Danio rerio: one gene and its partners. The protein of the gene in region 4 interacts with the protein of the main gene of each other region in a biochemical or structural test. Links are inferred from orthologs where the notes say so. Each region holds a gene or a part of one and is shown on either strand. Other genes may lie near its edges.

Region 1 (5,356 bases), on a different chromosome or scaffold from region 4:
TGCTTAATTCATTAACTGCTTAAACTATTTACAGTGTACCTGGTTATAAGCCACTACAGTATGTAATTCAGACACACAGTTGTTGATCAGGTGAAATGAAAGCAGTGTTTATGTCCATGTTTTTTGGCTTGTAATTTCATGTAATTGCTTCAGAATTCACAATATCATAAAATCGTGTTGTATGTCATTGGGTCTGAATGATTTTCAAATAAACTTACACATGACGCACATGCCTATACGATCTTCTGACCATCAGAATTTCCCCATGTGTGCCCATCCTAAAGGTTTTAAACCTGATTTATACTTGTATTTAGCAGATTGAACTGATGATATCACATATAATTTCCAGGAAAAGCCCTTACAGAAAGCTCATTTCCTTCTTCTTTCTTTTAATTTAAGCATACATGGTTAGTAATCCCACGCACGTTACATGCCATCAGTCCACACCAACTATAACGCACAGCCTATAACCGACAGGGTGAAGACTGCAATTACCGAAGGTTATTAGCCATCGTTTGGTGACTGACTTTATGAAGTGACAATTACCCACTTGCCCATCATGAAAAAAATGACATTACATCACATTACCTCTGACATGTGGCTTGAGTTATTAATACCAGCTAATTTAATGACGAGTAGCCGCCGATCTGGTGAATTACAGCTTTCGATAAGCCAGTACAAGCCGGTTCGCAGAGATTCAGACTGTAGTGTATCATTTTAACTTTTAAACTCAATTACCCTCTATTACCACAGGAACACGGTGACACCAGTTGACCAAAAATGAATGGATCTTTCCAAACCTGATCATTTGTGCATCCTCCAATTTACAATGGAGATATTTTCCCTTTGACGGCTGAAAATTAAGTCCCCAGTGCTGTCAGTCAGATGTCAGATGTTTTGTAAATATTCCTTCTATTCTCTGTGCCATAGATTCCTATTATTATTGAATCAGAGCAGCTGTGATAGTAAGAGTATCATCTTTAAATATATTTTGGTATTCATTCCTCTTTTGTGTGTCTCTCATTGTGTTTTGCAGATACAGTTTCCATGAAGAAGATCCTGAGCCAGAAAGCAGCAACAACAAATGCTATGGATATCCTCAGCGCTGTAGATTTCTCCTTCACATAGCATTTCGAGTGGATCGCTGTATCATTTTTTAACTTACAAAACTGTTCTTCCCATAAGCGGCCATGAGCTCATATTGAAACAGGCGACAGGGAAAGACATCAGATGATGGGGGCACCTGGTGGGCCAGTTCTGGGTGGGTTTAGTTCCACCACATCCTCCTTAGACCTCGTTGGCTGGATGATCTGGCCTGGGAACACCACGGTCAGCCTGAACCAGAGCTTCTTTGGGACAGACTACAGCTTCAATCTGTCGTCCTCCTCTTCGTCTTCTCCTCATGGGGTGAAAAGGGAGGAGATGAAGGAGAAGAACTGGCCGGCCCTGCTGATTCTAGTGATTATCATTCTGACCATAGGAGGGAATATTTTGGTTATTTTGGCCGTGTCGCTGGAGAAAAAGCTGCAAAATGCAACAAACTTCTTCCTCCGCTCACTCGCAGTGGCAGACATGCTGGTTGGCATCTTGGTCATGCCAATATCTCTCATAAACATATTATATGGTAAGTTACCACATTAACTTTTTAAAAATAAATGACATGCAAAATTTGTTGTATTAGATTAAATATTTCTCAGTCAAGATAGAACCAGTGTTGGGTAAATTACTTTAAAATTACTTTAAAAAAGTAATAGATTACAAATTACTGACTACTTCTGGAAACTAACTACTTAATGTAAAAAGTAATCAGATTACTAATTACATTACTTTGAAGTTACTTTAAAAAATATATATATATATACCTATAAAAATACAAAATAAACTGCAGCTCTTATAGTATATCTTTTGCATAGATTATGATAGAGACATTTTTCTTTTTTTTCATTACTGATATGTGCAGGAACCACCTAAATTAATTATAGCAACCTAGACCACACAGAACCTAAGGGTACACTTTCAAATGGGGTTTGTTATAACACAGACAACATACACACATATTTGAATAACTTTCACCAGTGTTTTATGAAAATTCAAAGGGTTTTCTTAAAAATGATACCAAACTGTTGCATTAACACCTCTGCATGTGGATTTGGGAAACTTTTTTATTTGGGTAGGCAAAATCCAGGGAGGAACCTGGAAAAACTGGATAAATCTAACCACTGACATTCATAGTATGCAAAAGCACTGCAGTGTCTGTGTTTGTCTGAAGTAATTAGTCTACTGAAATGTGTAAATTCCATACAAAGCATGAAGCTGATTGGTCAGTTCTTCTCGCGTGACTCTTGGTTTTCAACTGATGCGTCTTGAAAATGCGAGCGCACGTACTATGTGCTCTGAATATGAATGCAAGATGCGCGCCTCCATTAGAATTAATGAAATTGTGGTGCGTTTTTGGATGCCATCAGGATTCACAACTTTGGTTTGATGCATTGTGGGTACCGTTTAAATAGGTTGGTCTATAGCCTAATGTGAAGTGACTTCTAAGTGTCTAATGAGATGCAAACTTTCAAATAATGCAGCACATCGCCTATAAAATGTAGCATCACCAGAAGTCACACTTTCCATAATATAACTTTAGTGGCATTTCCCTTTAAGACCCAGGGGCTTTTTCCACTGGTGTGAGGGTTTCTCCTCTAAATAACATGGCTCATTATAGAAATGACACCATAGAATATATGCCGGTTAAATAACACATTTAATTGGTCTCTTTCCTCCAAAACTCAAGAGATGATGACTTCTATTTAAAAAAAAAAAGATGAAGAAGAAAGTTAAGGGGTTTAGGTTGATTTAGTCGTTACATGAATGTAATTATGTATAGCACAGAGCAATGACAAAGTTAGAAAAGCCAAGAACCAGAGGTGGTGAGATTTAATAGCTTTATAGCAGGGTATAACATGAAACCTCTTTTCCCAGAACAAGACAAAGCAAAGCAAGCAAGAGAGAGTGAGGAGGTGGAGATATTTGGACAATCTCAAAAAGTTTTAGACTGCTATTAACAAACATATTTATTGTCATCCACTCATGATCAAATTAATTTTTCCACTTCCTAAAATTGTGAATCCCCAGATCTGGTTTTACAATTCTAAGAACCCTAAGCAAGAATATTCACCCTTGTGTATTACTTAGCCTACATGCAGCAACAAGCAGAGGACACTACTGTTTGATGAATACTGCTGAAAAAAAAAGGTTTAACATAATGCAGTTTTGAGGCTTTTTTAGCATTAGGCTGTCATTGAACAGACCAAAGACAGTTGATGTTGTCCATCCACAAGATGGTGACAGAGACCACATAATAAGCGCTTAGAAGATAAAACAGCATAATTTCTAACTACAGCTGATCAAATCATTATAAATCAGGTAAGTAATATTCTAAGTCTATCTCTCTCTTTTCTATGATGTACTGCTGTATTTATACAATGTAATTGTAGTGTATTGAGTGTGGGATGGGACTTGCTTATGAAGAATGTATGTATTTTATGCAGGCCCCTCTTTGTATAACCCTGAGTAACTTTTTCAGGTTATTGTGATATCCTGATTTCAACAGAGAAATACTGAGAAATCTCTATAGACTGATGGCATTTCATTCTTATAATCTTAAAATCGCCTATCTTGTCATCACTTTAGACAGTACGCCAGTGAATCATTAAAATACTAGCTCTAAAGTGGTGTGTGTGAAATAGCAAGAGCTTTTGCTGTTCTGGCATCAGCTGTAGATGTGAGGGAATGGCGGAGGTAATTCCTCATACCTAAGGATTTTTAAACTCTCCGTATTTGGTTTTTCTTTTTTTATATACATGATTATGCCATTAAACTGTTGTAAACACAATATCACATGAGTAGCAGTGCAAAATGGCTGTATATCAGCACCGGTGCCAACGCAAACCTCCCACCAGTGCCAATATACAGCCACATCGCACTGCTATTTCTGTCATATTTCTCATGTGTATATATACATACACACACAGGCATGCATATATTTGAGAAGTTGTTTATTTATATTTAGATATAAATTATATGTGTGTAAGAGACAAAAATTATTGACAATGTTAAAAAACAAAAACATATGTTTAAAAAACCTTATTTTGGATGCAGTTAATCTTTGGTAAACATTATTAACATAATATAATATAATATAATATAATATAATATAATATAATATAATATAATATAATATAATATAATATAATATAATATAATATAATATAATATAATGAAATGTAATGTAATGTAATGTAATGTAATATAATAAAATATAATATAATATAATATAATATAATATAATATAATATAATATAATATAATATAGTAACATATAATTGATACAAGAGGTAACATTGAAACCTCACCAGGTCATATTGCCACATATTGAAGACAAGCTGAATTGCTCATACACAGATCCGAACATTATTCTTTTTTAAATTATTTTGCAATCACACACTTTTTGAGTAGATCTATTTTAAATAACTGATTATTTTGCTACCATCAAAAGAGAAGCCATCTTGAATATGATTCATGTGTGTTAATGATTAATGTGTGGATATACTGTACTGCCTTTGCCATTTATTGTCACATGACCATCACTTCTCTGCCATTCACAAATTCTCTCCTGTGGCCTCATGGGATAGTACAGTGTCCATCGTCATTATATAGTGGCCTTAGTCATTATATCATCTTTGAGTCTTTGAGAGAAAGAAGACGGAGAGAGAGCGAGAGAGAGGCCATTGGGGGCACATTGAAAGAGACAGCAGCTTGTCTTGCATTGTGTTGCTCAGAAAACCACAGAAATATGGCCTGTGGCAGAATTGAGATGGTGCAGCCTCTGTGAGCTGCTCAGCTGTCTGCTGTGGAGTATTTCTGGCTCTCGATATCCGTACAGGGACCACACTGTCCATCTCTCCTAAGCCATGGGGAGCTCTGTTTAACCCACATGTCTTTTTTAGATATTTTTATATACAGTGCTCAGCATAAATGTGCACACCCCTCACTGATCTCTCTTTTGAATTTATATGTTTTATAGGATGCTTTAAAGTAATGTATTTAGATTAGTCTGCAGTACCAAAGCCAAAACAGGAAATAATCTTACAATAAAACTTAAGAGCCAAATGAGAGTTTTTCTTCAACTGCTTTGGCTCAATTCCCAGTTTAAATGTTTATTTTTCAAAACAGTAAGTTTAGGTCACTGAGCCATTTGCTTATTGTTCACATCAAATTGGCATTTATTATTGATTTAAACAAATTGCAATTTTAAAAGAGAGGGTATTTCACCCAAAGTGTATAGGTGACCATCTTCAAGTGG
Region 2 (4,181 bases), on a different chromosome or scaffold from region 4:
CATTTTACCTTGGGAGATCCTACCAGGGACATTCAGCCCCCAACAACATGAGCCCTAAAAATATTTAGGCACTCAAACTCCTCCACCATAAGTCACTGCTCCTCCTCATTAAGAGAAGCCAGATGAGGTGACTCTGGCATCAACAATTGATACCTCCTGGCCACCTACTGTACCTGGGGAGGTGGGGGAGGCCCAGGACATGCTGTAGAGACTATTCTTCCTGACTAACACTTTAGTTAAATGTACAGCTGATAAGAAGAAAAACTGTTAAATCCAGCCTACACTAACCCACTTTCTATTCAGTTGCAAGACGGCACCAAACAACCAAGAACAGTGGCTTGGAGAAGCATATAAATATAGATCAAGATGATTTGAAGTACCCAGATGAGCATGTGTTACTGGTTTCAATGGTTGTTGTGTGGGAATAATATTCCTAGAAATGTTCCAGAGTGCGATGTAATAATAAAGATGAAATATTCATCCGTTCCTCTGCTTTTCTCTTTCTCAGGCAGTTTGCAGCCGCACTGGCTGATCTCTATGAAGCGGCTCGTCTGTGTCCCAGTAACCGAGAGATCAGACGTCTGCTGGCACGAGTGGAGGAGGAGTGCCAACACCTGCAGCGGCAGGGCTCTAAACACCCGACCTCTCATGGCAACCCCTCACACCACGAGGACGACAATGAGAACGACGACGAGGAAGATGATGATGAGGTTGAAGATGACGACCAAGACATTGAGAGTTTGGAGAAAAGCCCAGACAGTCTCAGCATAAACATGTTGCAGGCAGATGATGAGGAGGAGCGGCGTGAGCAAGAATCCTCTCGGCAGGACAAGAGGAAGGAGAGCTGGCATCAAAGCCGCACATTACCTGATTCTCTCTGCCTGGCGTTATCAGATGCCCAGTCTGCCATCTCCACTGCTGCCCCTGGACGGGTCGCACACAGGCGCCTCCCGTCCAGACAAGCTCAAAGCATGAAGAACCGAGAGTACAGCAGTTCACTACATGCTGAAGGCAGGACGCCACAGAGCGCCGGCTCCAGCCCGATGCCAAGCCGGCACCGACCAACCTCACTCAGAGCAGGGCCCTGCATTGACATTGGTGGCCTTGACAGAAGTCCACTCGGTGATGCCAGAGAGGGCGGCATTCAGTTCAGTCTCGCAGAGAAGGCAGAAATCAACATCGAGCCAAGAGAGTTTTGCAGGAGCAGCAGTGTAAGAGTCTCCAGCTCCTCCAGCGGGAATCTCACAGATACCAGCCGATTACGCAATTCCATGGCAAGCGCTCCAGATAGGCAATCTGAGCATAAACCACGGCCCTTCATGGGGGTCATTGACAAAACTGCCCGTTTCCAACAGCAGCAGCAGCAAAGTCATCACGGCAGCCTGGTGTCCAGTTACGGGTGGCCAGAAGGACTCGTAGGCCACAATGTAGGTGTTGTAGTGAATACGCACTCGCAGGGACTGACTAGTGACCTTCAATACTCTAAATCGAGTGCTTATCAGGAGCCCATCCACAATAGCACACTTACAACTGAATTTCATTCTGGAGCGGGATATAAGGACACGAACCCTCTCCAGCAGCACTACAATGACACCAAGCACAAGCAGGCCAGCTTGGCCCGGGACAACCCCATCCTGATCAGCTCCATCAAGCCCAAACGCTCCTTTATTGAGTCCAACGTGTAGCTACCAACTCATTCTTTACCTTAAGCACAAATTATATACAATCTTACGACATAAATGTAAGGGGGCTCAGTTGAACTAAACTGAAAGGATTTGTTCCAGGTAGGTGAACATAAGATTGCCTTGCATTTCTGTTTACAGCTTCAGAGGTATTTAAGCACATTTTCAATGCGCAACGCTGCATCTGCACATTATAGGAGAGTGGAAATATGATAGAGGTGGTTTATTAATGTATTAAGATACCTGACCTGGCTTTAGACTTCAATAAGGACATAGGACATCTACCAAAATGAAACACTGTCTCTTACAGTATGATTGTGGGCCAGTCCTGTGTATTCAGAAAGCATATGCTGTTTGAATGGTGATGAGTGTGTGAGTGTATGTATGTATGTGTGTGTTTCAAGGAGAAGCGTGTTGTATTTCTTCCTAAACTACTCACTGTTTGGATTAATTTATTTATGGCTTGGTTGTCTGATTAAAACAATATTATATTTTATATATTAGTTATTTTTGCACAGCTATATATTATGAAATACCACTATGATTGTGAGGACGACATGAACTGTATAAAGGAGACCAGGTTTACATGCATGTTATGGTGAACCATATTCAGGTGTCTATAAGGACATGGATGTTATTTCATTATTTGCAATTTATTTTATGTATAGGGCTGTTATGTATTGTATTTGAATATTTCAGCATCATATACAATAAACCCCAGTTTAAGACTTAGGTTACTGTTTTATTACATTTCTCTAGTGCCTTATTTTTATCCAAAGAGATTATTACCCATTCTTAAATGTTTATTAAGTAGTTTTTTACATTAGGAAGTAAACTGTCAGGTTTTTTTAATGTGATCCATATGGTGTCCATTAAATCATTCCTTTTCCTTCGGCTTAGTCCCTTTATTCATCAGGGGTTGCTACAGTGGAATGAACCGCCAACTTATCCAGCATATGTTTTACACAGCGGATGCTCTTCCTGCTGCAACACAGTACTGGGAAACATCCATACACACTTATTCACACACATACACTACGGTCAATTTAGTTCATTCAATTTACCTATAGCGCATGTCTTTGGACTGTGGGGGAAACTGGAGCACTCAACTCAGAAATGCCAATTGACCCAGCCGGACTAGAACCAGCAACCTTCTTCCTGTGAGGCAACAGTGCTAACCACTGAGTGCTTATTTATAAACTCTATTTTGCAACATCTCTTGAGATGACATAAGCCACTACAGAGGGTTACAGAGATGTCTTAAAAATATGACTATTTTACCTCAGTATATTCAATGGAGCTTTTGCGCTAGACTGCTGATTCTTACGGGCGCGTGCGAGTAAATGGCTTTTTGTCTTGTTTTACGCTTCAACAACTAAATGAATGACAAAGTCTATTTAACTGAACAAATTTAATTTACATTAGAACATCAAGGGACTGCATAAAATGGAAAAAAGTTCACATTAACTGTTCACCGGGAGTTTATCAGCATGGGAAGAAACACTAGCTCTGCATATACCCTATTATACATTGACGATCAACAATTTTGTTAATAAATCTAATTTATAAAGTCTAATTATCTAATAATACTAATTTATTAATTAAATATATTTAGTTTTTTTTAGGCCGTCATGGTGGCGCAGTGGGTAGCACGATCGCCTCAAAGCAAGAAGGTCGCTGGTTCGAGCCTCGGCTGGGTCAGTTAGCATTTCTGTGTAGAGTTTGTATGTTCTCCTCGTGGTCACGTGGGTTTCCTCCATGTGCTCCGGTTTCCCCCACATTCCAAATACATAAGTTATAAGTGAATTGGGTAAGCTAAAGTCTGTGTGTGAAGGAGTTTGTATGGATGTTTTCCAGTGATGGGTTGCAGCTGGAAGGGCATTCACTGCATAAAACATATGCTGGATAAGTTGATGGTTCGTTCCACTGTAGCGACCCCAGATAAATAAAAGGACTAAGCCGACAAGAACATGAATGAATGAATTTAGGTTTTCAGTGTTTTGTGGGATAGGCTACTTAGTGTATTCTGACCAGATTAGCTATTTTCGGTATTCTTTAGGTCAAACTATACAAAATTTGCATCTAATTTGAATACTTTTAGGCTTTATATAGAAACAAACATCTATTTTATGAGAAATCAGTCTAATGTGAACTCTTATGAATGGCATTTTTTCTCGCATAGACTGAATGGCGCGATTATTCATTCACAAAAATGAACTGTTATGGGGGGGGTCAAGAGGATGTCTATTATTTAAATTTTTAACATCATTTAAAATACAGATCAGAGTGAACTTTTTCTCAGATTTAAAAGGAACCCCTGTGCATCTTGTTTTGACATGCAATCCCCCCAAACCCCTTTTTAGTTCCTACTCTGACCTCCAAAAGAGATTGGCTTATTACTGGCAAACAAGGACTAAAAAAAGAAGGATGGTACACCTCTGCTTCTGTACACTGTATGAAACATCTATGGCAAATCTGTTGAGAATCAAAGGGTCCTCA
Region 3 (6,134 bases), on a different chromosome or scaffold from region 4:
AGCAGCAAGCCTATAGCCATTATTGCCTCAATCCCTACCTGTTTAAAAGTTTATAAAGAGTTCTAGATTTTCATTTGGATTTTGTTCATTATCTTTTATAGATCTTTGTCTGTCTCCTCTCTTTCCAGCTGCAGCGCAACCTTGACAAAAGAAAGCTCTTATTTCAGACATGTTCGCCCCCAGTCTCTTTCCACTGCTTTTGAAGGTTGTACAGTCATTGACTCCTGATTTGTACAAATCTTGGAAATTGTCCAAAATGACCCACTGACCTTCATTTATCATGCTGCGACAAGAGCCCATCCGAATAAGGTTTTTTTAATGACGAATAAATCTGCCTTTACACTCTTACCGCTGCATCCAAAAAAGAGACTGCCTGATTCTGTTTGCCCAGTAATTCTCACATTTCCTCCAGTCTTGATGCACTTGGTGCCACCGTCATTCAAGGCCTCATTTCTGGCCTACAGTGCAGTCGGCACCATTATCCTAATAACTATAAGCCATTATCCAATCCCACACCCACAACCTTCGCACTACAATCACAATCTTTACTCTCTACACATAAAGAGCAGCCATCCTGTGTGCTTGCCCACCAATAATGCAGTGCTATCTTGTGAAATACTGCCCCCTTTTATTCTCTTTAGTGCCAACTGCATACAGAAAAGACAAGCATAGACAAAAACAAAAGCTAAGGCCAAAACAAGCTGCATTTCCTTATGGAGGTGGGCTATTTGAATAATTAAACAGTGGGATGTCAGTGCACGGTTGCCAGGGTAGTAAAGGTTGGTCAATGCAAACTGTTTAAACAAGAGCAAACACAATGTCTCCTGCATTACTAATGAGCTGAATTAAACAGCACAATCATTCTGACAGCACATACACACACATTCGCTGGAGAGTCAGCTAGACCCTTGGCTTTGTTGAGCAATTCTGTGCAAGGTAAAAGATGTGTTTTTCAGGTGATAACTATAAAGCATTCAGTGCTGCTGATGAAACTGGATTTCTAAAGCCTTCTGTTAAAAAATCGAGTGCCGGGAAAAACAGGCAGGTGGCGTAGTGGGAGTAATCATTTGCATTTTGCTTTCATACCAACAGAATATGAGCTCAAAGCATTAAGCACTTTTGAAAGCCAATTTTGAGTTTAAAATGCAGTTTAAATCATCTTAATGGCCATGTTTTTTTTGGTTTGTTTTTTACAGCTCCACCAGTCTTCATGACTGAGTGCAAAACCAGCTGCTTTCAAACAGTTTAATGTTCACACATCCCACAGCGATTATATTTTGATCAACGTGTTGAAATATTTTGATGGAAATTCACTTTCCAGTAAGTTAGCAGCATATTTCATCATCTCAGTCAAGAGATGCTAGATGTATAACCCATAATAAATAAATAGATAGTTTTAGTTTAGTATAAAAGATGCAGATTTAATGTAGGTTTTAGCCTATTTTACCAAAATTGTGATTAATCTAATGTTATCTCTCATGATTAGAAAGAACAGTCATCATTTCAAACTATGATAAATGCACAAAAAAATATAATAATAATAAACAAAATGTAAACATATTGAGTCGGTATTTTAACTTGACTGAACATCAAAATCCCACCAACTCCATTTTGCCCATTCGGAGTCCCTGGACTCTCTTGAAATCCCTATTATGACTGTGCTAAGAGAGGTGAATATTTATGCTCTTTGTGTAAACGCTTGCTTGTTTAATAGATCGTTGAGTAAAGTGCAGAGCTCTCACGACACAATCACGTTTGTCATTTTAATGTCGTGTTTACATTTTTCCAAAGAATGGCTATACACAAACTGGCCGTGATAGAAAGTGTCTGTGTCTTTTTGACAGAGCCACACACAGGCTGCATAGTGTGTGCAGCTCGCGCTATGCAGCAGTCCCTCGGGTAGGCTGTTGCGATGAACTGGATGTCAACAGATGCATAAGGGGCTGTCGAAGTTTGAGATCTGCAGCACACCGGTAAGCCTGCTGTCGCCACTGGGGGGCGATCTAGGACTTTCCGCGCTGCGCAAACGTGCCTCTCGCGGCGGAGCGCAGCTCCCCAATAACACGAGCACAATGGTCAACGGGCGAGACTGAGCGGCAGACAGATGCGCGCTGCGCATACCCACCTAAGGCTATTTCACATGGCATCCGAAAACTTTGATACATCTCGATTCTGACGCCGCTCGTGTGATATATCGAGCCACGCAGCATGCTCTCGGCAGCAGCACCTGATCTTTGGTGAGTGTGAGTCCAGGCTTAATGCAGCGGTGCATGTTTTTTGGGGAGGGGGAGATGGGCAGGTGATGAGAGATCCTGTTGAATAAAGAGCCAACGGCGAGCCGCGGCCAAAACTGTCATCCCTCGAATGCGATCTCACCTGACTGTTGAGGTGTCATGTTCTGCGTTTGGCTACGTCGATGGATATCTGGATTCCCAGTGCAAGAGGGAAATTTGGACAAACCTGGGATTTACATCCTCAGCCGTCTCTATCTTGTTGCATTGAGGGTGGAAGCGGAGAAGACCTCCTCGTATCATTCCCTACGTAAGTGGCTCGAATGATGGAAGGTGGAGTGCATGAGAAGGATGTTAAATTGCGTGCGATGACTGATTATTATTAATTGTCAGGGGCTTTTGGATCAGTAATATCACGCGCTGTTTCCTGTTTTCCTGCCTGGCTGGCCTGTATCAATAAGGATGCGCCCCGTTATTGTCATTGTTAATATTTGTATTCTTATGCAGGCAGCACAAAGATATTGAGTTAGGTCCCTGGTTACTTTTTTCAAAATGTTCTGCTCGTGTTTGTGTCCATCACAGTGTGCCTGAGCTAAATTATGCTGAGCACTTTGCATTCTACAACACGTTTTTCTTGTCTTTACAGCTGTTGCTGGTGTCAAGCGGATCCAGTGATTCATTCATAGCCGCTGAAGGGGCAGAGGACGGAACAAACCTACAGCCCACCCCTCCCTCGCAGCCAAGATGGGAACCAGTGATTTCATAGACGAATAAAGTCGGTGAGCGAACACCTCGGATAACGGAAAGGAGCCGCGCTCTCCTCATGCATCCAGCTTTCTGTTGGATAAGGCAGCCGCGCGCGCCACGCGCATGGATTGTAGAACTGTTGGACACATTTTACTCATGATTACGATGATGATGATGATGTCACCAGAAGCACGTAGCTTCGTTACAGTTGTAAAGTCCGATTACAACAAGTAAAAGTGCACTGAAAGAGCTGAAAGCACTTTCGAAGGCAGCGGACCTACACTGCCAGTCAAGCGCATTTATGAACTTGCCGAGCCCGTCTATCGCTCAGCCTCGTTCTCCATCACTCTGAACGCCTCGTAGTTTAAGAAGATGGAGTTTGCTATGGTGGGCGCGGACAGTGGGGGCTGCAACACCCACCTGCCCTATGGATATGCCCAGGCTCGCGCCCGGGAGAGAGAGCGCGAGAGGGAGAGGCATTCTCGCGCAGCGGCCGCGGCAGCAGCTGAAGCTGGAGCGGTCGGAGAGGGAGGTGGGTCCACTGGCCATCCCCACAACCACCCGCATCAGAGTCGCGCCGCCTCTTCGACAAATGCCAACAACAGTAGCGCCGGGACCGCCTCGCGCCCCTCCTCCTCCTCCTCCTCACAACAGCCGCAACAGCAGCAGCAGCAGCAACACCACGAGCCACCACAGCAACTTCTCAGAGAGCGAAAAAAGCAAAGAGGCGTCGCGCGCTGGAGACGGAACCGCGCGGCTCTCGGCGGGGATCTACGCCAATCAGAGTTGGCGCTCCTAGGATCCGAGGAGGACATTATGATCGAGGAGGAGGAGGAGGCGGAGGGCGAGGAGGAAGAGGAGGACAGGAAAAGCAAGAGGTCCAGTTTTGTCTATAACATGGATGATGAGGAGGAGACGGTGTCGTTAACGGACAGACGTCCTCAGTCAGGGTATGAAAACGTTTACAATGAGTACGGCTGCTGCGAGAGAGTTGTCATCAACGTGTCGGGCTTAAAGTTTGAAACTCAGCTGAAGACTCTCGCGCAGTTCCCGGACACTCTCCTGGGAGACCCCGAGAAAAGAAGCAGGTACTTCGACCCTTTGCGTAACGAATACTTCTTTGACAGAAACCGACCGAGCTTCGACGCCATTCTGTACTTCTATCAGTCAGGGGGGCGCTTAAAGAGACCCGTCAATGTGCCGTTTGACATCTTTTCCGAGGAGGTCAAGTTCTATGAACTCGGGGATGAGGCAATGCTCAAGTTCCGCGAGGATGAGGGCTTTGTGAAGGAGGAGGAGAAGCCGCTGCCCGAGGACGAGTTCAAGCGTCAGATCTGGCTGCTCTTCGAGTACCCGGAGAGTTCAAGTCCAGCCAGAGGGATCGCGGTCGTGTCAGTGCTGGTCATCGTCATATCCATAGTCATTTTTTGTTTAGAAACATTGCCAGAATTCAGGGACGACAAAGAATTCCTCATCCCAGGTAAAAACTCCACGCAGGCAGACAATGGATTTACGCCATTCAACGACCCCTTTTTCATCGTGGAGACAGTGTGCATCATCTGGTTCTCGTTTGAGATCATCGTGCGCTTCTTCGCCAGCCCCAGTAAAGCTGATTTCTTTAAAAACGTTATGAACACCATAGACATCGTCTCTATTTTGCCTTATTTCATAACCCTGGGCACAGATCTCGCACAGCAGCAAGGCAACGGGCAACAGGCTATGAGTTTCGCCATCCTGAGAATAATACGACTCGTCCGGGTGTTCAGGATCTTCAAACTGTCTCGGCACTCCAAAGGTCTCCAGATCCTCGGGCACACTTTACGCGCGAGCATGCGAGAGCTGGCGCTGCTCATCTTCTTCCTCGTCATCGGCGTCATCCTGTTCTCCAGCGCGGTGTACTTCGCAGAGGCGGACGAGCCCACGTCACAGTTCACCAGCATCCCAGATGCGTTTTGGTGGGCTGTGGTGACCATGACCACGGTGGGCTACGGTGACATGAAGCCCATCACGGTCGGGGGCAAAATCGTGGGCTCGCTGTGCGCCATCGCCGGCGTCCTGACCATTGCGCTTCCAGTCCCCGTCATCGTGTCTAACTTCAACTACTTCTACCACCGGGAGACTGATAACGAGGACCAGGCGCCCGCCGTGGAACAACCCCCACCGGGTTGCCCCTACTTTCCGGATTTCCTGAGAAAATTCAAGGGGTCCCCATCGGGCTCATCTTTAGGTGACAAGGCTGCGGAGTACATGGAGATGGAGGAGGGCGTGACGGAATCTCTGTGCGGGGGTGACACGCAGAGCCCGAGCAGAGGGAACGGTACTGACTTAGGCGGGAAAAACAGTTCACATTCACGAACCCTACAGACAGATGTATGATTATGGAAGAACGATGACCTTTCATCATGATGACTGCACAAATGAATCAGTTAACAGCACACACATGCACAACTTGAAGACACACACAGTACGCGCGTGCGCAGACACACTGTCTCACACACATTAAGTTCTGGACCTGAGCTGAAACTTTTTTGCAATGTGGCTGGCTACTTTTGTAGAGAAACATACCCTGTAATCACATGACAGGCAACGCAAAAATCACCAGCTTTACGTGACGTGGAGAGGTGTCTCTATCTGCCCGCCTGTTCAGTTCAGTTGACAGAACCGAACGACTCCCGGTTCATTAAATGAAGGAACTTGCATAGGCACTTTATGAGTTACATTTGTCAGTAATTGTAGGAAAAAGAGGCGAGTTCTTATCTAATGCTATTATGCAATAACGTTTAAATCGTTTGCACTATCATCAATTATGTTCTAGTCTCCCACTTTAATGCAGAGGAAAGAAACACTGAGCTAGAGAGAGAAACGACCCCATAGCAATCATGTTTTAAATTGCATTTATAATTAATTCCAAACAATAGCAAACATACGCTGTCCACGACCAATTCAGCTAACAGGAAGGAATTTGTTTCACTATTAGAATTAATTGGAGAGCAGCATGTTGCATAACTTAAGGCTATGTTATCTTAAAAATCCCATTGTGGCAAACATGTGTCCGCATGGCAGTATTCAGTATGTACTACACTCTGGTAAAAAACCCTTTTAGCACACCCTGTGTAGTTATTTGTGCATCGTCCAAAGTGACTAAAGAGTCATTAT
Region 4 (6,145 bases):
TGACTGTGTGTGTAATCAGTCAGAATTAGGAACCCGGGTGTGCGAGGTGCATGCTGGGAGTTGTAGTTCGTTAAAGTAACGTATGTAGTTTTCCAGCAACCCACAGCCGCTAGATCACTGGTGATTGTCACAGTCCGCATAACAACATTGTTAGAGTAGTAAAATAAACATCTCCCAGTTTACAGTGCATGCATTATATGCAGCCTACAAACAACAGGCTATTATTTTACTTTGTTAACCTCTTGTTAATCTTCATACGTTTACTATCTTCACTAAGAACAGTTTGACTATATTTTTGTTTTCCTATTTTTTTTTCCAGAAATAATCTGTAAGTGTTAACGTAAAGTTATGTGTTACTCTCTAAAAAATACATAAAATTTCCTTTAAAAAGCAGAAAAATATTGTAATACCAAATTACAAGCAATAACTGTACATTTAATGTTAGAATTTTTATAGAACATATCTTTAAAACACCAGGTATTTCACTGTATAATGAAAAAACTGAAAAATTCCGTAAAAAATACAGACAATTACCAGTAAAATAACGTTTATTTTTTACAGTGCATGTTATACCATTTAATGGAACTTTAATTTTTTTGGCTTCAGTCATTTTTGGGGTACTCTTTTGAATCTGAAATCATTAAACAACTAATATCAAAATATATCGTTATCGTTTAATATGGAAAATAATTACAGAGATTGCATTTTGGCCATATCGCCCAGCTCTATTTGGAGTATGCCAATTTGATGGGTGAAGAACTATACACCTTTAAGACTTTAAGGCCCAGTTTCACAAGCAGGGCTTAGAGTAAGCCAGGACCATGGCTATTTAAGCCACATTTATTAAAATGGCCTTAGAAAAATATATTACTGGAGTGCGCCTGGAGACAAAAAAATGACACTGACAGATTTTAAGACATCTCTCTGAAAGTTATTTTGAGTTGAGACAGCTCAAACATGCAATTTAATCTCGACTAGCCTTAAACCTTGTTTGTGAAACTGACTCTATTCCCTTCTCAGATTCATGACTCTGTGACGTTCATTGAGAAATTGTTGCCACAAAAATAGTATTCTAAAGTAAGACCAACTATATTTATATGTCCGTGCAGTCGTGTCATGAGCGTTTTCGTGATGCTTCATACGAGCATTCGGATGATCCTTGAATGGACTTAGCCAGTGTTAGTCGTGTTGCACGCTGAGTGACGCATACATTACGAGAACGGCAGGATCTGAGTCACACTTTGGACAGTGAGGCACACTGACAACCCAAGTATTGTACGTAAAATAGGGGTAATTGACGTTAGTAGTACTACTGGCTCAGAGTCTTTGACTTTTGCACGTTATGTAGGTCAGCATGAGAGAAGTAACTAAAATGTCCAAAATGTTTAATATTAAATGGCCTTGAGGATTGCCTCACTGGCAGAATATAGCAGATGCATGTGCACGCTGTGCGAGAACAGGATCTTATTAGCGGTGAGGATTAGATTAGCGAGTATGGCAGCATTTTGCCACATCCCTCTTAGCTTGACTGCTGATTTAAAAATTTCCTAAAGCAAAGTCACGGCAGAGATCTTTGTCATTGCCGACCCTCCCCCAACATCACTGCCCCTTAAAAGCCAGTGACCCGAGCGGTTTGTCCTATGTGACCATTTCATGGTCGGCCTAATCAAATCAGAAGTAATGGAGAAATTAAGCTTAAGCATCTTTCTGCCAGCTCACTCTCTCCACCGTAGGGATCCCATCAAGAAATGGAGCCATTCTCAGAAGGTCACATCCACTGTCCAGTCAGCTGCCAATGACATTCCGTCATCTTATTGGCCAGGCTCGACGCTCCCCTCCCCCTTTTCTCTCCACTGTGCAAACGTGCTGTAAGTCACTCCAACATCGCTCCTCCTCCTGCATGCGAGGCTGTGCTCCCTGAGGATGTTCATTTGCTGCTCCTCTCCATCTCACTGTTACTGCCTTGGCTTTTTATTTTTTTGCCTTCCCCTCAATGTATTGGGTGACGTAGAGCACCCACGCCGAGGATGAGACAGAGAGAGAGACTCAACCCAACTCGACGTCCATGTGACAAACCCCACGCGCTGCAACAGCTTTATCCCTCCCTCCCTCCCCTCACAGCTCTCCTCCTCTTCCCGCGTTCTCCTCACAACTCGCTGCGTTGTTCAAACTGTGGCATTCTTCACCTTCCCTTTTGGGGGAACGCAGCAGTTGTGTGGTGTCTTCTTGGCGATGACCAAAAGGTCCCGAAAGCTGTTCCTTCACGGATGCATGCACTCGGCATGAGGCCTCCGTGCAAACATCTCCACCGTGACTCACAGCTGTGAAAGGTGGAGGGACGGATCTCGCAAGCCAGTGAAGCAGAAGACGAAAGGCTCTGAGGAAGACCGGAGCAGCGGTGAAGGAGAAGGGGGCGTGTGGACAAACTCGCTGGATGAAGGAAGCAGACTGGCTGTCCCTTCCCTGGCGTGATGGAGTGAGACGAGGAATGAGGGTGGATGGTGAGAGCGGGCAGCAGCAGCAGCAGTGGAGGGGCAGGAGGAGGAGGAGGTGGTGGTGGAGGAGCAGGAGGTGGCCGGAGAGGCAGGAGCAAGTATCGCTCGCGCCGGCGAGTCTCCGGCTCTTCGCTGGCTGATCGGCTCAGCTGCCACAGCGGCGAGAAAATGTCTCCCAGCATCAAGAAGTTGGACTGCTTCTCGCCCATGCTGTGCCACTGCAAAGTGGCCTGCACCAACAGCACCATCTCACTCATGTTCGGATGCAAGGTGGGTGGTGGAGCTGCTTCTCAGGTTCGCTTAATTCACAGGACAGGACAGTCTGTGAGAGTCTGTCCAGCTTTACATCAAGGTGTAGCCAAGAGTGGCAGCCAAAATGCTTGGTACTGCTGCCAGTTGGAACTCCCGAGGCACATGCAATCAACTTGATGAGATAAGAGTTCTCTTCGAGATCTAGCAGACTTCAGAAGTAGACTTATTCTTGCAGAGAGATCTGGCATAACACGTTCATGGACTGAATTTCTTTTAAGGCACACATAATTGAAAAGTTGATGAGATGAGAGGAGTTGTCTTCTAGATGTAAGAGAGTTGGCGTACAGCAGATTTATTGCCTTTTAGTCTCTTCTTAAACAATTTATGTTAGGTTAGGACAGCTAGGTTCTTTCTTTTAGGCTTTTAATTGTTTGTGTTTGTCTAAATGTATAGGATGATCAAGTGTTGAAATATAAGTAGGCCAGATTTGGCTCCCATGAACTAATAGCTCGTCTTTCTTTAGACAATTTAAGGGGTGTAGGGAACGGTGTGCTAATTAGGTTCTTTCATTTAGGTTTTTTTCTCGTTTGTGTTTGACTAAATGTATAGGACAGGGCTATTCAATTAGTTTGTCACGGGGGCCGGTTCATGAAAAGCATCCCAAATGAAGGGCCGGAGAGATATGACTTGCTTTATGAGTGATAACACAACTGCATATAAGAGCCCATATGCTGTTTATTTTCTCCTTAAGACACCCACGTTGGCTTTTTCTACATTAAAATATGAATATGTTGTATTTTGAAACTACATAATATCAGTGCACTGTACAATAGACTTTTCTTGTTTACAAACATGTTCAAATGTTGTATATCAGAGCACAGCAAAAGCAGTGCATTGCTCAAGTAGGCTTTTTCTACTTTAAGACACATTCATGTTTTATTTTTTTAAACTGCATCACAATTATGGTTGTACGATTATATAGTCTAAAGAATAATCATGGGTTCACGGTTATCACGTCTAATGTAAATTCAAGCTTTATATGAGGTAAGTAGCTATTTAGAATAACTGTTGTTGCAACACTATCTCACGGCAATTCGTAACTTTTTCATTTAGTGGCTAATTCGTATGAATTCATCCTTTCTAATTCGTACAATTTAGTACGATTTGCTTATCCCCCAATGACGGTTGGGGTTAGGGGTGGGGTTAGGTGCCACGCCTCCTTTTTAAGATCGTACCATTTCATACGACTGAACTCGTACGAATTCGTACGAATTAGCCACTAAACTGGGAAAACGTAAAATACTTACGTTTTCTCATGAGATCAGGCTCGTTGTTGCCTTCTGCGTTCATACATACAGCACAATCATTTTAATAATAACTCGTCTAACATATATGTTGTTAACATTGCACTGAAAGGCACGCACAACTCTCACCGTAAGATGTTTTCTACTGTGTGCACCCAGAAAGACGCAAGTGTGTTGCTGCGCTTGTGCGCACATATTGTCATATATTATTACATTAAAAATAACAAACTTGCAAGCTGAAAAGACTTGTTATGGGACTGGCCACTGCTATAGTTAATCCGGTGAGTGCGTATTAGCCTCGGTGTACATACATGGAACTTTAAACTAGTGCACAGTTGACAACTTGACATAACTTGGTTTAGTTGCAGCAGTTTCGTTTCGTTCCATGCAACAGAAATGCGGCGTTGACAAGCCTTTACGATTAATTAACTGTGACGAATTCAAGTGCAGTTAATAGTGAAATCGGCTAATCATTGCATCCTGCTTGCCCCACTTGCTTGGCGCACGTCACTTCATAACTATAGCGTCATTTTTCGAATTAACTACATTTATTTTTCATGTCTTATTTGCACTATTTGGAGGGCCAGAATAAATTGCCTCGGTGGCCAGGTTCGGCCCACGGGCTGCCAATTGAATAGCCCTGGTATAGGATGATCAAGTGTAGAAGTATAAGTAGGATCAGGGCATGACCCAGGCCAGACTTGGTTCCCATAAACTAATAGCTTGTCTTTCTTTAGACAATTTAAGGGGTATAGGGGAAGGTGTGTTAATCAAGTTCTTTCTTTTAGGCTTTTTCTTGTTTGTGTTTGACTAAATGGATAGGGTGGTCAAGTGTAGAAAGGTAAGTAGGATCAGGGCATGGCCCAGGCCAGAATTGGTTCCCATGAACCAACAGCTTGTCTTTCTCTAGACAATTTAAGGGCTATTGGGGAACATATCGTCAGATAGATAAGGTTCTATCTGCATTCTGAATGATTTTGAGATATTGAGCATCAAAGTTTTTGCATTCCATAGCAAACAGTATGTGTGTAACATTTTTTTTGTAAATAAAAAGTCTTAAAATGTAAACAACTTATAAAAAAACATCCCATAATGTAAATAAGTCATTGTCATTTAATAAGAATATGTTAATAACACAATTTTGACAAAAATGTCAGATGGAACTATATAATTCTAAGGTGACGATATGCTAATTAAGTTCTTTCTTTTGGGCGTTTACTTACTGTGTGTGTCTGTGTGTGTCTGTGTGTGTCTGTGTGTGTCTGTGTGTGTCTGTGTGTGTCTGTGTGTGTCTGTGTGTGTCTGTGTGTGTCTCTGTGTGTGTCTGTGTCTATGTCTGTGTGTGTGTGTGTGTGTGTGTGTGTGTGCGTGTGCGTGTGCGTGTGCGTGCGTCTAGATGTTTAGGTTGATCAAGTGTAGAAAGGTAAGTAGGATCAGGGCATGACCCAGGTCAGAACCAACATGAACCAACCATGAACCAACAGCTCTCAAATGTACCCAATGCACTACCATAACTCATAATAATATGAGCTCATAAAAGCTAATTACGGTCACACTTTACCATCATGTATTTACAAACATGAACTCATGATAACAATACATGTACAGCATTTTTGAAAGTTTTTTATAATTTATTTTTTAAGTTACTATAATTTTACATTTTTTAAGTTACTATAGTTAATCATTTGTCGCATTCATTGACTTTAACATTAACACAGATAAATAAATACTGTAATGTTCATTGTTTGTTCATGTTGTACAACTTCATTCCGAAGTCTTACCCTAATTGTTAAACAATTATTATTTTTAATAGTTCTAGATCAGATTCACTATATCAAAGCATGTCAAAACTTTCCAAAGATATTCTGTGAAAACTTCTTAACAACTGTAGAAGTGGCTGCTGGTTTTAATGCTGTTCTTTCCTTTTGGAGCTCTTTCTCTTTTAATCAGTCATTGGATTATCTCCGCTCTGACTGTAGTTAACACTCTGCTCCACAGTAATCACTCTCTCTGATGGAGAATGCACACATTTTGTTGTATCAGCTCAGGGTAAAGCCTGCTTGGGCTGTGAGAATGTGTCACAGTAATGCGTTG
Region 5 (4,440 bases), on a different chromosome or scaffold from region 4:
ATGATGGAGGCCACTGTGCTCATTGGAACTTTCAGAGTAGCAGAAATTTTTCTGTAACCTTCCCCAGCATTGTTCCCTGAGACACTCCTGTCTTGGAGGTCTACAGACAATTCCTTTGTCTTCATGCTTGGTTTGTGCTTTGACATGCAATGTTAACCCTGGAACCTTATATTGACGTGTATGCCTTTTCAAATCTTGTCCAATTAACTGAGTTTACCACTGGTGAACTCCAATTAAGCTGCTGAAACATCTGAAGAAACAGTGGAAACAGAATGTACCCAAGCTTAATTTAGAGCTTCACGGCAAAGGCTGTGAATACTTATTTTCACATTGTCATTATGGGATATTGTGTGTAGAGTTCTGAGGAAATAAATTAATTTAATCCAAAAATGTGGAAAAGGTGAAGCGCCTTTATTACTTTCCATATCCACTGTATGACAGATGGTTTCTTTGAACTCTCTTCTGTTTCGTTACTTGTTTTTAAAGGAATAGCTAACTCAAAGATAACAATACTTAATTTACTTCCTGTCATCACAGTCAAAGGACAACTGCTATTATAAAAGAAGACTATTTTGAATGAATTTATACTGAAATTCATTAAAAAAGAAAGAAAAAAATGAACGCATGAATGTCCAACCCCTAAATATAAACGGAACTTAAAGGGTTAGTTCAACTACAAATGAAAATTGTATCACAATCTACTTACTCTTGTGCTATTCCAAATGTATAAATGTTTAGTTAAATCGAAAATATTTTTCTATTCCATCTTTAAAAATATAATCACAGAAAAAAACAGATGATCAGTATTAATCAAGTGGTTTAATTGAGTGAAAAAAAGACAATTTGGGGTGAACTATCCTGATCACATGCAAACATACAAATCAGATCCTTTCAATTAGCCCCTAATTTGCCAGAATTTTAAACGTTGAAAACTTGTTGTGAGATTTTGTTGTCTGTCTTATTTGACATTCTGGCCCCATCATCCCACTCTGTGTGCTTGTTTACCTTTACGGTTGTGTGCGTGTTTTGCAATTCTCACCTTTCCTAGTTTCCTGGTTTTTATTTGCATGTTGTCAAGCAAAATGTCTGAGGTGTTAAAGTTTCAGTTGCGCTGACGTTCTCTTTGCTCTGCTCGTAGATCCGATGTTTGCGAGGGCATCAGGGCTTACCAAACCAACACACTTTTGATGGGATTCATATAGTCAATCACTATGGTGGAGACAATGAATCCTACCAGTCCTCTGATGAAGATGGAGTGAAGCTGTCACCCCACCTGACCACTCATCAGGATAGAGGCCGGATCACACTACATCCAAACCTGGAGGACTCCGAAAGTGAGGGTGATGAGGAAGGAGATGCCCTACGACTTACCGTGCCCTCAAATGTCAGCCATAAGACAACAACAGTGTGAAACTGTGAAGGCCTGAACGGAGGGAGAGCTTGTCCATGAGCTCGTCCTTTCAATGTGAACATGGGACTTGAACTTGAAAAGCCATCGTTCATCTTTACTAATGGAATCGTATCTCTTAAGGTCATGGTTTACATCTGCATTTGTTTTGTTTTTGCCAAAATACATCAGATGTCTGTCCTGGCAGTAGTTTTTAATTTTAGCCGCGATAAAGAGGGCAAATGTGTCTGTCTGTTAAGGCACTTTGAGATCCTTCCAATTAAGCAGAAGTCATCATTTTTGTGGCAGGATATTCCCAGAACTTTAAAAGGGGGTGTTTTTAATACTCCAAGGTTTTTTTTCATATGAAGAGAAGCAACTTGGTATAGCCTATAGTGTTTTAAGCATTAAGATTTTGCATCGTTATAGATTTTATTTTTTAAATCATCTTTTTTTTTTTTTTTTTTTCATACACACATTGAGAGACCAGAGAGCGCATAACTTTTAGGGAAACATATTAAAGAAAGCAACACTATCATCTTTAAATTGTTTCATTAATAGCACGGTGTCATATCTTACGTTAGCAGGCCTTTTTTTCTGGCATGAATTGTTATTGGTCATGAATTGTGAGTCATTGAACCAGCGTCTATGTAAATATGTATATGTTTAGATTATTTGCCCATCTCCATTATTACTTGAACATGTGTAATCAATGGATATCATGTCTATATTGTAACACATTGTATAGTTAAGTTGAAAGGGATGTATTACTGAATTTGGGAGGATTTGGAGGAAACAACTTTTCTTTAATGTACTGTAGCTTTGCTGTAGTCAAGTTCTCCATTTCACAGACTGGAGATTTGTTTTTGTGCCTGGAAAGATTCTACAAAATTCTTGCTGATTTTCAATATTTTCTACAATATGTGGTATGCTGTGCATGTTATATATCAAGAATATCTCCAAACTGATGGAAGTGGAGGCAGAGAGGTGTGTTCATCAGAACAGTGTTCTCATTTCTCTGGCCTTTTCTGGTCCGTTTTTCTTTTTACATCTTTATTTGTACCAGCTTGCTTCTGAATCAGTTTGCACTTTGCACAGATGACATGCATATGGCTTCACAATAATGAACAATATTATGTTTCGCTGTTTACAGCGATATATTTAATTTAGCTTCACCCTCCATTTTTTTTTGTTCTTTTTTGGTTAGTTTTTGTGAGCCAGTGGTTCTCAAAGTATGAAGTGATTTCATTTCATACTGCTATTTAGACACCTGAGTGTAAGCCTTAAACCTATCATGGTGGATGCAAATTTGGTGCACTGTTTGCCCATCGTTTAAAAACGGCCTGTCCACCTACAAAACAAAGACTTTTGCGAAAGGAATTGCAAAAGACAAAACACTAAGTGATTAAAGCGTTATTTATTTACTTTAGAAAGATCGAGTGTTTTACAGTGAATTCCTGTGGAATGTTCCTGTGGGCATTTGAGGCTTTACAGACAGTTGACAATACAATAAAAGTGTCTTTAAGACGATGGACATGTTGATTCAGAACACAATAAAATATCATTTGATAGTGGCCAACGACTGTCATGTTTTGTACGTTTGTTCCACGCAACAGCTAAATAAAACTGATTGATCAAAACTGAATTCATCTTTTTGCTTTTTTTTTTTTACATTAAAAATGTATCATTCACTTGATAGTAACTGTAATCAATTAATTAATAGTAATTAATTAAAACGCGCACTAATCTTTGAGCTAGTTATTTTATTATTTCAATCATCATCATTATTTATTTTTTACATTTTGACTAACGCAATTTTACAAAACTGTAATAAAAAGCTTCTTAAGGAAAAGCCCTTCTAACATCAGATTGCTATTGACAAGTAGCATTTTCAGGAAGTTTTTTTTTATGTGTGCGCGCGCCTATTCTCGCGCTCAGACTAGCACAAGATGAAATGAGATGTTATGGGCTCTGCGCTCTTTGAATTCAACCGAAACACCGCGACTGCACTAAAATCATCTTAACTCGTATTGTTTTCTGGTGAGTACCGTAATTTCAGTCGGCTTATGAGCCCTCGTTAAATTTAAAGTCATTTGGTGTAAACCGTAATTCTAAAATCTGAGTTTCGCTAAGCACAATCACAGTTCGCTTGTCTCCAGTTGAGCATGACGTTTCATGTACTTAGACATATAACCTCATTATATCATTTATCTTTCCATTGTGCCAGTGCAATTTGTAAATGTTTTTTTTTTGCAACTCTTGTTTTTTTCTTTGATGCCATTTAATAATTTGTCAACTATATATATTTACGAAAATTTGAGAAGAACATTGCGGCATTAATATCTTGGGATGGCTATAACATGTTTGGAAAAGGTAGCCTATAGCCAATTAATTGTTTCAAAGCCTATGTAATTATTCTAATCCCATGTAGTGGAATAAAACCACAGAAAACACAGCTACAGAAAAAAGGAAGCAGTAAGACGGTCGGAATTGGTATTGTTGTTTTTATTCACATTTGCTTATATTGTTCTGAGAGTTACCCTGTCTATAATGATACACAACATTCTTCTGTGGAAACGACGTTTTAATTTTGTTATTGAAATTAGGCTACTCATTTCGCTTTCAGCTTTTAAGTAAATATTCTGCAATGCATTATACATGTCTATCTCGTTGCGGAAGGGTTAATATGCTGTAACTGCATATGTCTAGTAATCAGTCTCAAAGTAAATGTGAGATAATGTTGTAAAATCAGTAAAGATTTTTTCCTAGTGCCCTTCATTATCTCTGTCCTACTGTATCTGCCGGATGCCCTGATGTGGTGTCTAATCGAAGGGGGCACATTGCGCTTTGATTTCCTGCGCTTCTCTTTTGGCCAGTAGCCTACTGATGGATCCTGCACTTTGCGATTGCATGCATCAGTTTATCAGATATTCTGTATCGTGCTAATTTTTATAAAGCTATACAAACTACAACTACAAATAAATCAAACATCTACACCCGTAAAAAAAGAATTGAAAACTTGAAGCGGTAACTCATAAACTTATAGCCTTTTT
Region 6 (5,874 bases), on a different chromosome or scaffold from region 4:
CAGTCAATGATTTATTTTTTATTATTCAGTCTGCCATGTTTACTGCTACAAAATATTTCAAATGTTTCTCAAAGTAAAATATATATTGTGTTTAAAAATATATTGTGTTTTTTACCAAGACATTTAAAAAGAATATATTTTAGAGCAGTAATCACAATAATGTGAAATCGTTATGTTTTTATCCAAGGTTATCATACCGTCAGAATCTTATACCAGGCCATGCCTAATCGTGCAGCCCTACTACTGAAAATAAGCTGTTATCACCCCAAAAAATAAGCTCACTGATATGTCACTAATTTTAATTCCTAAATATTTGCTGTGTCATGATTACATAACCTCAAATTATACACAGTAAAAAATGGTGGGTTGCACACAATTAATTTGTGTTGGGACAACATAAAGATATTTAGTTAACATATCAGTTTTTACCAATTTAAGTGGATTGAACAAAAACCAATTAAGTTTTCCCCAAACACACTCAAGAAATCAGTTGTTTTATTTTAAATAAATTATGTGAACAAACAGCGTACTTTATTTTTTTGAGTGTACTTTATTTCCTGAACAATCCCTGCTTGATATCTTTTATGGCATGTGTAATGTCAGACGACGATGTAACTTTTTGAACAATCACTAGTTACTGCGTTTAATTACATGTGTGATGTCATTGAGAAGGAGGGACAAGCAATTGTTTTCCTGAAACTAGAGCATAAGCACACAATGTCTCCATTGGAAAGCCACCAGAAATAAAAGAAAGTGAACAACAGTAAGTGCGCATATAACTTCATCAGTCTTTCATTTTGTCATCTTGAAGAACTGAAGAATTTCTCCTTTTGGTCATTGTCACATATAAGACAAAACCCTGTCTTTATTAATTAAAATAATTAAATAAAAAAATGTTAATAAAATCAAAGGATGCAGGCACAGCGCTGATTATCATCCACTGGGAAATTACTGTATATAAGATTAAATTATGAAAAATTACCATTGTTGTTTATAAAGCACCACAACACCCAGATGGATTGTGGCAAAATTTAATTGATGTTGTCTAAACCAGGAATGAATCATTCTTTCAGTTTAAGGAGTAAAAAGCAGATATCGCTTTACTTAAATACCCAGCCAGATCACAGCAAGCTCACCAATGTGCTGATGCAACGCAAAGATGAATATAAGTCAATTAGTGCTTGTATGAATTCCTAATTGCTTTTCTGCACCTCTGCCAGCCACGTGGGACGTTTCACAACTCTGGAAAAGCTGCAAAGCAAAAATCACATTACCGTGTCTTTACTCAGTCAGTATTTCTAAACTTTCATAAAATCAATCATCACTCAAATGGTTTTTCGGAGGAAAACACTCTCTGCTCCAGCTGTCCACAGTGCTGAAAGTGATAAAATGCACATTAATGGTAGCGGAAAGCTTGTATGTTTTGACTGTCAGAGTTTCAGCGCATTACTTCATAATGGTGCCAGACTGGGCCACGGTCCAGAGCAGAGACTGATAAACTCGCTGCATCCTATTTGAGGCTAAAAATAACAGCTCTGTTCCTCTTTACCTTTAAGTGATGTCATTTCGCATTATTTCGAATCTATGATATGCTTGTGATGCTGTGCCAAGCTTCTATTATAAGCTGAAATTGACATTCTTTAAAGAATGTCTTGCAGCTCAGCTGAGGACTGGCAGGGGATTGTGTCCTGTCCCTGCTTGTATTTACTGTCTACAGAATTCAATAGCACACCCACACACTGCTGAGTCACATTGGCAATGATCTCCCTCGTGGAAGGATTGTCATTAATTACCTCCACAGCTTCCCTTAAAATCTCAGTGTCAGGCAATAGTTTAATGACACCCATTAAGTGCTACTCTGCGATAAAAAAAAAAAAAAGTGAAAGAAAAAGCACAGTAAAACTAGAACAAAAACAGCTTTTTAATATACTGTCACTTTCAATAGAAGAAATTAATTAAATTCCAAACACATTTGGAAATGTTTTAACGACAAAAAAGTTTTTGAATATCTGGTTCAACTTCCAGGAACAAAATGCTTTGCAGTCACTTATGATATTCACAGCTGCATATATTATTTAGACTGTAAGTATACCAATATACTTAAAGCATTAAATCTTTTTGTTTACAAGATGCTAGCACCAAACCCAGGTGTTGGGTGATACAATGGAAAAGTAACACGATGTGCTGAATAAAAACTAACCTCTATTCTATAGTAACTGTCAACAACAAAGTGACAGAGCACAGGGTTACTCACACAATACAAAACACACTATTAAAGAATATTGCTACAAATACTAAAGACACAACAAAAACCGGAACGCACAACTATTAACAATTTAACTTTTTAAATGAGACCAAAACACACTGGCACTTTGCACTTAAGGTTCTAGGAACTCTACTTAACAATAAACATGATTTTAATAATAATGATGTACATGTTTATGTTCTTCTCCCATAATTTCAATAGTTTTACAACACAATGCGGTCTTCTACCATTTTTACACCATAGCTAGTTAACTAATAAGCATATTAAAGTTAACCAATTAAATGTTCTTGAGTTTTAGTTCTTGTAGCTTTTATAACAAACAACATGTTTCCAGTAAAGCTAAAACACGCTTTGATGGGATAATAGTCGTACCTGTGGATGGAGGATGCGACTCATTGCTCCAGTGTGTTTTTCTGCAGAAACCTTCAAACAGCAGAGCGCTCTCGTGCTCCAGATGCAGCTGTCCGGATGCTCTGCTCCGGGGTGACAGACCTCTGCTCGAAAAACAATAGATTTGCACCCCGAGGATGATCAGTGCAGCATTTACAACTGGAAATCAGCAGGGCGAATTATGCGCGCATTTGAATCGCTGCCTCATTTTCACCCACTTCCAGAGGAGTTATTATTAATATAAGCGACATATCCTTGTGTTTCGGGGTATTCGGTGGACACTTAATCCTCAATAAACAATCTTCTGTCGAGTTTGACTACTTAAGGTCCTGGGAGGCAGGTGTAAAGCGCTTCAATCACGACACCAATCACGCCCGACACCCAGTCAGTGTTTCCAGATATGATAAGCGTCTCGACCTGCTCCCCTGCGGCTGGAACTGAACTTTTCCAAAAGTACTACCACAATTTTAATCTCGTTTACAAAATTATCCGTTCCTTGTTAACACGGCGGATCCTCTTCACGTTGCGTCCTCGCACTGACTGACCCTCTGTTTGAGTCCCATCGGTCAACGGTAAAGCGTTCACACGAAGCCCTACATGACAGCGAGGAGGCGTCACTGCGCGCGGATAAAAGGAACAGACGCTGAGATTTTGCGCGCGTGCGGGTAAAATGTAGTCCGAGAGAAAATGTGACAACTGTAAGAAGTCTAGCTGACGCGCGAGCGGAGTTCGCCGGTGCAAACTAATCCGTGCCGTTCCCACGCGGGCTGCGCGTCTTTAACCAAACCGGCGGTTCACTGTTTAGCGCGCGCGCTCCGCAGCGGCATGAGACTCAACACCGAGCAGCCTTCATAATGAGTGAATTCCATTCGAAAGTGAGCATCACTACACCCTGTTCAGTCTGAAAGGGGGAGCACTCGAAGAGAGTAGACTCTGAAGGGAACAGGGCGCATTTGAAACACATGGATATGTGTCTACGTCACTGGCACTTATTTTCATCCTAAAGTTATGATGTGAAATCAACATTTTGATGCCGTAATGTTTGCGTAAAAGATTTGTCCTTAAGGTAATTTGCAATGGTGTACGCTGATTTTTTTTCTTTTTTTTTTACAGATTTAAAAGTTTTGTTTTGTAACTATTTGGGTTGCATGAGATTAAAAAAGTGTTTGAATAAAGAAAATGCCATGAAGTAAGTTTGAATTAGCACATTGATTACAGTCAATGCATTATAGATGCACTGATTGAGTTGCATAACCCCTCATTCACTGTGTCTTAAGCGAATGGGTTGTCATGCAGAGATAAAACATAATATCAAATCTTTAATATGAAGTTTCATCTGAAGGTTTTCTAAAATGTTTGAATGAGAGGTGACAGGATATGCCAATTTGTCTCAATAATAGGTGCCTCCAGTATGAAAGAGAGCCATTATCTACAGTGGTGGGGTTTTGTCTCATTTATGGACAGTGCATTCAACATGAACATTCACACTTTTGTATGGCTTTGGAGAATGCGATCTGTTTGTCAGTATGCAAAGCAAAAGTATGTTATTTAGCATAAGTGTAATTTAGAAAAAAATTGTCATCCCATTTCCCCAGGGCGAAAAGTGCTTATTTTGGCTTTATACTTTATGCAACGCTAGGGAATCATATAATCCTTTAGCTCTTTTTATCTCTCGATCCATCCAGCTCTCCGTCTAATGATCCTTCTAGTGCAAAGAAATTCTGGACAGTTTTGTCTAAACAATATAGCATCAATTAGGTTTGTTACATACTTTTTTTTTCACTAAAACATATATGTATACACACACACACACTACATCTTAAACTCATGGTGAACTTTAGTTTTCAGTATTGTTGTTACCACTCTTATGTAAAGCTGACAGCACAGCAAATCCTCCACATGTATTTCCAGACACTGTCCCCTTTTTAGATTTAAATTTGTTTTCAGGGTCAGGAATCGCAGCAAGTCCAAGACAGAGGTGTCGAAAAGAACAACTGGCTATATTCAATCATTCTCCATATCGCATTAATGCAGGTCTGCATTCTAGTTGCTTTATAAAGACACAGGAAATGATTCAAAATGCACGACCCTCCACAAGCTGTCTGAGGTCAGCCTGATGATTCAACGTGTGTTTCATTATTAAAATTGTTTACCGTGTTAAAATGAACTGCAGCTCGTACAAATATCTGTATTGCAAGATTGATTTTTTTTAAAACTTAGAGTTAGAGTTTAACCAAATGTTGTGTATGATATTATTTCTTTTGTGGAACACCAAAGAAGATATTTTAAAGAATGTTTGAATTCTTTTTCTTTTTTTGTTTTTTTTTGTTTTTGTTACAACAGTGGACTTTCACTAAACAGTTTTGTTCAGATAAAATAAATAAAAGCACTCAGCAACGCACAACAAGTAAATAGTGAAAATTTAACACTGGATTAAATATTTTTTTAAAAAGTAATATCTTCCAATAAACAGACGATACTTTAGAATATAAAAGTAATGAACACCAAAATTTATAAGTGTTTTATTGCATATAATTATCTATTGTATCTGCCACCTGCGTACAGTAAATCTCATGTCATGCTGTCAGAAATCCATATATATTTTTTCTCTTACACACTTTCCAGGAGAGCCATTCAAGACAAAACCATTCATTATGACAGCACCTGCAGTGCCATACGTCTCATTTTACTTTATGGCATACTGTCAGCTCTGCAGTGACATATTGACATCAGTTATGATGGCGCACTGTGCACTTTCGACATGTTGTACGTGACTTATTCATATCGCCACTAATCGTCACAGGGGCATTTCCGAACAGAGTCAAAATGGTAAGGGTGATCTTGTCCTCCCAAAGGGAAATGTCCTTTTAGCCTGACTGAATTTAAGAGCAAGCTCTAAAAGCAAGCAGGATAGGCATTATTGATATAGACGTATGCACTTGACAAGATCAGATTCTGTTTTCCTTTTAGGCCTGGAAATGAGAGTTGAACTCATTTTTAATATGTTGAGAAGTGATTTTTCTTTATATCTGTTCCATTTACTGTTTATTTAGGAAATGATTCAGCCCACACACATGTAATTGAGTGGAGAATATTTATGCTAAAAGATGAAATACATACCGGAAAGTTATCTCAGTGATACTAGCCTTTTCTTTTTCAGCAAAACATGACAGCTTAATTTGATGCAGGGCATTTTTATAGCCTCAGGGGTTGTTCAG

What was found.
Region 1: the proteins of dlg1b (region 4) and htr2cl1 interact in a test that uses a peptide from one of them, tested with the Homo sapiens proteins (2 studies listed by IntAct, with this or other methods). The link is inferred for Danio rerio from reciprocal best matches to the Homo sapiens genes DLG1 and HTR2C.
Region 2: the proteins of dlg1b (region 4) and tanc1a interact in a test that uses a peptide from one of them, tested with the Homo sapiens proteins (2 studies listed by IntAct, with this or other methods). The link is inferred for Danio rerio from reciprocal best matches to the Homo sapiens genes DLG1 and TANC1.
Region 3: the proteins of dlg1b (region 4) and kcna4 interact in a biophysical measurement, tested with the Homo sapiens proteins (2 studies listed by IntAct, with this or other methods). The link is inferred for Danio rerio from reciprocal best matches to the Homo sapiens genes DLG1 and KCNA4.
Region 5: the proteins of dlg1b (region 4) and evi5b interact in a test that uses a peptide from one of them, tested with the Homo sapiens proteins (2 studies listed by IntAct, with this or other methods). The link is inferred for Danio rerio from reciprocal best matches to the Homo sapiens genes DLG1 and EVI5.
Region 6: the proteins of dlg1b (region 4) and crhr1 form a complex in vitro, tested with the Homo sapiens proteins (3 studies listed by BioGRID and IntAct, with this or other methods). The link is inferred for Danio rerio from reciprocal best matches to the Homo sapiens genes DLG1 and CRHR1.

Annotation. Positions count from the first base shown.
Region 1 is NC_133182.1:23,440,395-23,445,750, forward strand, and holds part of htr2cl1 (5-hydroxytryptamine (serotonin) receptor 2C, G protein-coupled-like 1), read left to right. Parts: intron 1-1,036; 5' UTR 1,037-1,230; coding exon 1,231-1,624; intron 1,625-5,356. UniProt on the Homo sapiens protein: G-protein coupled receptor for 5-hydroxytryptamine (serotonin).
Region 2 is NC_133181.1:12,997,899-13,002,079, reverse strand, and holds the end of tanc1a (protein TANC1), read left to right. Parts: intron 1-508; coding exon 509-1,685; 3' UTR 1,686-2,414; downstream 2,415-4,181. UniProt on the Homo sapiens protein: May be a scaffold component in the postsynaptic density.
Region 3 is NC_133182.1:32,644,898-32,651,031, reverse strand, and holds the start of kcna4 (potassium voltage-gated channel subfamily A member 4), read left to right. Parts: upstream 1-2,062; 5' UTR 2,063-2,237; exon of another isoform or gene 2,238-2,541; intron 2,542-2,877; 5' UTR 2,878-3,350; coding exon 3,351-5,354; 3' UTR 5,355-6,134. UniProt on the Homo sapiens protein: Voltage-gated potassium channel that mediates transmembrane potassium transport in excitable membranes. Forms tetrameric potassium-selective channels through which potassium ions pass in accordance with their electrochemical gradient.
Region 4 is NC_133177.1:5,302,402-5,308,546, reverse strand, and holds the start of dlg1b (discs large homolog 1-like protein), read left to right. Parts: upstream 1-2,663; coding exon 2,664-2,765; intron 2,766-6,145. UniProt on the Homo sapiens protein: Essential multidomain scaffolding protein required for normal development. Recruits channels, receptors and signaling molecules to discrete plasma membrane domains in polarized cells.
Region 5 is NC_133181.1:31,513,061-31,517,500, reverse strand, and holds the end of evi5b (ecotropic viral integration site 5 protein homolog), read left to right. Parts: intron 1-1,106; coding exon of another isoform or gene 1,107-1,115; exon of another isoform or gene 1,116-1,138; coding exon 1,139-1,411; 3' UTR 1,412-3,032; downstream 3,033-4,440. UniProt on the Homo sapiens protein: Functions as a regulator of cell cycle progression by stabilizing the FBXO5 protein and promoting cyclin-A accumulation during interphase. May play a role in cytokinesis.
Region 6 is NC_133178.1:20,402,355-20,408,228, reverse strand, and holds the start of crhr1 (corticotropin-releasing factor receptor 1), read right to left. Parts: upstream 3,517-5,874; 5' UTR 2,663-3,516; coding exon 2,639-2,662; intron 1-2,638.